Bombyx mori: one gene and its partner. The protein of the gene in region 2 interacts with the protein of the main gene of each other region in a biochemical or structural test. Links are inferred from orthologs where the notes say so. Each region holds a gene or a part of one and is shown on either strand. Other genes may lie near its edges.

Region 1 (2,537 bases), on a different chromosome or scaffold from region 2:
ATCAGAGATTGTTATCGCGTGTACGAATTCGTTCGCAATTTGTCGAATTTTTATTTATTATTACGCTTGTCGAAGGAAATTCGACCATATTCACTAATAACTAAAAACATAGTTTCATTAAATATCATTATAAAATAATTATATTATTATTATGTACTCTTAAGGCTGCAGTACTTACTGGTCGATCGGTAATACTACAACCCGCGGACATACGAATGTGCACTCAATCGATATACGATCAGATATTGTTATCGCGTGTACGCCTTCATTCGCATTTTGTTCTATCATATATATATACAGGGACGTCTTAAATCAGGCTGGGGCCCTTGAGCGCACAAGAATTTGAGGCCCTTTTGGAAAGTAAAAAAAGCGAATTATAATAACATTTTTTTATTGAGTATGACCATTTATTATAGGTAATCAAATACGGTATGATATAATGTGTCATTAATGATATTAGAATGCTGCTGGTTTTTTGGTTTTACGATCACGATAACGGAAATCGTTATCTTGATCGCTAGATGGTGTACTCAGTAAATTAGGTAGGATGCGTTCGGAAATATTATTAATTAGTACAGTTGAAATAGGCGCAGTCATCGATATAATGGCGTAATATATGCCTTATAAATACATTCTGATAAGATTACTGATTTGTGAAAAAAGTGTAATGTGCCCAACAAAAATGTTTTGAGAATAAATGTGTGAGAGAAATTGTCGGTCCTTCGGGGCCCCCTGAGAATGGGGGCCCTGGGCACGGGCCCCGTGTGCCCTTATTGTAAAGACGGTATTGTATATATATATATATAGATAGAATGTTAATCGAATTTTTATTTGTTGAACGAAATTCGACCGTATCCACCGAAGATATGGTTTTATTTTATATATAATAAAACGATAAATCGGAAATCGTTTTCGCCGTCAAACTTTTCTAAAGAGCTCTAGTGTGCTGCTCCTACTCACTCTTCCTTTTATTTTTATTGCTTAGATAGGTGGACGAACTCACAGCCCACCTGGTGTTAGGTGGGTACCGGAGTCCATAGACATCTACAAAGCAAATGTCGTCACCGACCTTGAGATATGAGTTCTAAAGTCTCAGTATAGTTACAACGGCTGCCCCACCCTTCGAACCGAAACGCATTACTGCTTCGCGGCAGAAATAGGCGGGTTGGTGGTACCTACCTTTGCGGCCTCACAAGAGGTCCTACCACCAATAATTACATAAATTATAATTTTGGGGGTTTTTATTTTTTACACGATGTTATTCCTTCACCGTGGAAGTCAATCGTGAACATTTGTTGAGTACGTATTTCATTAGAAAAATTTGAACCCACCTGAGATTCGAACACCGGCGCATCGCTCAACACGAATGCAACGCAGGTCTTATCCGTTAGGCCACGACGACTTCACCTACCTACCCGTGCGGACTCACAAGAGGTCCTACCACCGGTAAGGTGTTAAGTACAATGCTGTTCCAGTGGGTTTTCCTGCCGGAAGCCAATGAGAGAAGTAAACTGGTACTGCCGGGGCGGGGCCGCGTGGACTACCGCGCTGCCTGCTTCTGCCACAGGGAACTGCTCACCATCGGCTACGTCTGCTCGGTTTGCTTGAGTGGTGAGTTTACTACTCTCAGGCACTTTGAAAAGGCGGCACGACATGAGAACCCTCTTGTCGTGGCCGCTGGAAACTACATACCCGATCCTGTAGACCAGTAGTCGGAGAACTTTATAATTATTACCCAAAAATATTTTTGTGTAAGTTGATGTTGCCCCATGACGAAGAACAAAAAATAAAGAAATCTCTTCTTTTTGGCATCTTTCATATTATAGACCTATAATAATTTTGAAAAAATATATTATTTTTTCATTTCGTTTCATCTAGTTTGAAATCACAACGATTCTAAAGAAGTTTCACTTCAATATATACTTTTTACTCACAAAAGTTTCATTTTTACCCCCCACAATTTCATTTTACCCCATTTGGGGTAATTTACCCCGGTTCCCCGACCGCTGCTGTAGACCGAATGGTAAACAGTCGACGTCGCCCAAAACACGTCATCACGGATCCTCCCGATCCATTAACGGTGCTTTTAGGTACCACAAGCGCCGGTCACCGTCCTCGTCGAACCAGTCGCTTGCGACGAAGGGCTCGACAAGCGAATTAACCCATAGACACAGCCCGCAGTTTCTCGCCGGATCTTCCATTGGGTCGCGTTTCCAATCCGGTGGTAGATTCTGTGAAGCACTGCTCTTGCTAGGGTCAGTGTTAGCATCACTCCGGTTTGAGCCCCGTGAGCTCACCTACTACTAGTTAAGGTTACGCTGAAATAGCCTCTCAAGGTTATCAGCTTAGGTAGGGAAAAAAACTCTCAGGTCACGAGGCCATGGCTTCAGTTGACGGTAGTTTAAAATCGCTCAATAATAATAACTGGAAACAAATAACGCACAGTCACACTGCCCCAATTTAAGATCCTCTGTGTGCTGGGTACCAGAGGCTAATAAACGTACTTATATGCCTACGTTGAAATATATATATATATA
Region 2 (3,763 bases):
ATTTAATAAATTAGAGCCGGCTTTACCTATGGTGTAGGGTTTGCGTTACACAAGCGCAAGCACATTACAACGAAAAGGATTTTGTTACATTTGCACTTATTCCATTCCATTATTCCATTTTGACCGCACACTTACTAGAGGATTCTAGGCTAATGATTGCACACGATTGCTATATGGGCTAGAGACGCCTTTGTACAAAATATTATTAAATCTATACCTATAATAAAAATACTCTGTTGGTAATTCGTCGTATTCAATCAAGCAAGGAGTCAAGCAATCTACAGGTAGCCATTTTTTCACTTTTGGTGGATTTAGCTGTTCCTAATACGGCACTCCCACCATAGATATTTTCCTTTGGAGTGCAATGTTGACGTCGATGGCACAGGTTGGCCAGGCTTGATGTACGGTATATTTTTCTGGGAATTATAATAGTACGTACAACAAAAATGGATATACCATTTTTTAATATTTATATTTCAGTTGGTGATGACAATCTTCGAAATCAATTTAAGACTCGGTATTACCAAAAATTTTGTTATTCGTAGCATGCCAATAGCCCATTTAAATAAAAATGACAAAGTCTTAATATACAATTTACATCAACATAATATTTATGAGAAACTGAATTTGGCAAAATGGTTGCTATAAAAACTAAATACCGCTCGCGTTCAAACCCTAAATCCAATTGTAATTACTAACATAGATCCAAACACTGATGAAGCAATTTAAAAATCGCAGCCTCATACATCTCATTAGACGGCAATTTTATTGATTTGTTATTGACTAATATGGGGGAATAATGGGAATAAATAATGCATGGTCATCCGACCCCAAATTAGGATTCCCTGTTGATGGGTACCTGAGACTAATATACATGCGTAAATACATTTTAATAAACAACAAGACAAAGAGCAATCAAACCTGTCAACACACAAATGTTTGCCCGATGTGAGAATCGGACCCACGACCCTCGGCGCAGCAAACAGGGGCTCTAACCACCGAGTGCTTTATAAAAAGAATTTTCTTAAAATTGTAAATAAAACTAATGTGTGTTAGAAATAATCATGTTTGTATTGATGAAAACGAAAGATGCGCAACATATCGTATTACTGGTGGTAGGACCTCTTGTGAGTCCGCACGGGTCGGTACCACCACCCTGCCTATTTCTGCCGTGAAGTAGTAATGCGTTTCGATTTGAAGGGTGGGGCAGCCGTTGTAACTATACTGAGACCTTAGAACTTATATCTCAAGGTGTGTGGCGCATTTACGTTGTAAATGTCTATGGGCTCTAGTAACCACTTAACACCAGGTGGGCTGTGAACTCGTCCACACATCTAGGCAATAAAAAATAAAAAATTGTGGATGTTTGTGTAGGGGTGGTAGCCAAATATTTTGTCTAACGAAGGGGTCATTGTCGAAAAAAGTTTGCGCACCACTAATCTAAATATATCAGGCGTGCAGGGTTAGTAGAAGGTTATTGAAAATATATTAAGTGTATAATCTATGGTTATTGATTTTTTTCAAATAAATGGCCGCATAAAATACCATAAAATTGTTTTGTTTTTTTATTTATCCCGCAATGATTCTGACGCTAATAAAAAGTCTAACTAGTACTCTTAATTATGTATGAAAGTACTACATTCAAGGCTAGAAAAATATTGACTACTTACTTTTAAATTCACATGTTCTGTACAACATAACGGTGAGTGGGCTAAAATTTGACACTAGGCCTTAAAGGCCTTAATGACTAAAGTTAATAGTCTAATTAAATTTAGTTCAAAACGACATGTAACATTAATGAGCAATGTTGCTGTCGCCCAATTTGACTAATGGGGTCGAATTCACAATTGCAATAGAGACACCCCCTATCCAGACCACTTAAATGGGAACGCAGGTTGCCTAGGAAAAATAATATTGACCGTGAAGCTTCATGTGGTAGTATTTTCCTTACAAGGCTTAAAAATACAACGAATACCAACACTTTAAGGTTCTCAAGTTAGGAAATGGGGAACAGCTAGGTTAGATAAGTGTATAATATTAAATCCATCAAATTCTTAATAGACATACCATATACAGATATGTACTTTCAAATGTAATCAAAGAATCGTTTGTTTTGGTTTTTTTACATTACATTTCGATATCATGATAATAAACTAAAGACCTAAATGGAAATGTTGACCTACAATGTACATTTTAAGATAATAATTAGATTAAATTCTACCTAAAATCATCAGTAACCGTTTGTTTAAGTATTGTTCGCAGCTGTAGGCATTTTACTGAAATAATGATATTTTAAAATACGTAGGTATGTATCAAAAGCTTAAAATAAAGTGCAATTTGCAAAAAGTAACCTGTAAACTGAAATGCGCTCGTCATTCTTTTGTTGATTCCAAAATTTGCTGATTTGTGATAAAATTTATTGTATTTATTAGGTAAATATGTATGTTTGTGATTCTTCTAAGTACATTTATAATTTTGAGAATACGTCACAAAGAAACCGTTTCTGAGAATCAATGCTGATTTGGGTTGAGCAATAAAGTACGAGTGCCTTCTAGAAAAGTACAGCTATTTCTCTTTATCTTTGAAATTAAAGAGAAACAACTATATAGCTCGGTAAACTTCGTAAAGCTTCGGATGTTGTTCGGTTCGTTTCGGTTTATTGATTTGCTGCGGAATAGCCACGTATAAAAGGTTTGTCCTCGTTTCGCTGACGCATTAAAAGACCAGCGGATTGCAACGTGATAGACAAGCTTATAGTTAAAATAAGGTGTTTTTCTACTCCATTTTGTTTTATATAAAAAACAAAGCTCATAATTGTTCGACATACAACTGACAAAGCGAAATTATTGTATCTTCTAGGTGAGTACATTAATTTTCAAGTACATACATATAATTTTCATCAGGAGAACGCCATGTTTGTCTTTAACAAATTAAAATTTTTCTTGCTTTATCTTATCGATCCGTGTTTTTCATTTGCTTTTTGCTCAACATTTTGCAGAATATAAGTAATTATTACGTATGTGACGAAATGATGAGTCTAGTTGAAAATGCACAATAATTATGGTTTCATTGTTATGTTCTACAATATTTCAACAATTAAAACGTAATTAGGTCATAGCGTAAGCCTGCTGAGTTTTTCGCCAGATCTTCTCAGCTGGTCGCATATCCAGTGCGTAGGTTCATTCGTGACGCATCTGCCTATGTGCTATCAGGGTACCCTAAAAGGCTCGCTTAGCACTTAATAATCGATCCCCCTGCCAATTCAGCCATCGAGGACGTCCACGCGTCCTGATGGGATTACAAAGCACTCTCCACACCATACCACTCATAATAGCTTCATACAAAATTTAAAAAATATATATACTTACCTATTGAGACCTGAATCGAGAGACACCTACTCTAATTTTTAATAACAAAAATTTGTGTATATATGTATTTACTTGTAATTAAACAGTCATTCTTTTTAGTTTGAAATGTGGTGCAGCTGTATTAGATGGCAATATTCACATTGTAATGTTTATGCGACCCTGTAACCACTTTGATACTTGGTGATCTCATCTGCCCATCTGCAACAATAAACCTCTATTTAAAAAGGAGATAAAATAAAATTCATAAATTTTTCATTGTTTACAGATCATCATGCAAATCTTTGTGAAGACTCTAACTGGCAAGACCATTACATTAGAAGTGGAGCCTTCTGACACAATTGAGAATGTGAAGGCGAAGATCCAAGACAAAGAAGGAATTCCTCCTGATCAACAGC

The links.
Region 1: the proteins of Cdk7 (region 2) and general transcription factor IIH subunit 3 form a complex in vitro, tested with the Homo sapiens proteins (2 studies listed by BioGRID). The link is inferred for Bombyx mori from reciprocal best matches to the Homo sapiens genes CDK7 and GTF2H3.

Annotation. Positions count from the first base shown.
Region 1 is NC_085132.1:5,293,224-5,295,760, forward strand, and holds the end of general transcription factor IIH subunit 3, read left to right. Parts: intron 1-1,475; coding exon 1,476-1,712; 3' UTR 1,713-1,933; downstream 1,934-2,537. UniProt on the Homo sapiens protein: Component of the general transcription and DNA repair factor IIH (TFIIH) core complex, which is involved in general and transcription-coupled nucleotide excision repair (NER) of damaged DNA and, when complexed to CAK, in RNA transcription by RNA polymerase II.
Region 2 is NC_085127.1:9,211,255-9,215,017, forward strand, and holds the start of Cdk7 (cyclin dependent kinase 7), read left to right. Parts: upstream 1-1,554; 5' UTR 1,555-1,702; intron 1,703-1,978; exon of another isoform or gene 1,979-2,305; intron 2,306-2,321; exon of another isoform or gene 2,322-2,518; intron 2,519-2,736; exon of another isoform or gene 2,737-2,859; intron 2,860-3,419; exon of another isoform or gene 3,420-3,566; intron 3,567-3,639; coding exon of another isoform or gene 3,640-3,763. UniProt on the Homo sapiens protein: Serine/threonine kinase involved in cell cycle control and in RNA polymerase II-mediated RNA transcription. Cyclin-dependent kinases (CDKs) are activated by the binding to a cyclin and mediate the progression through the cell cycle.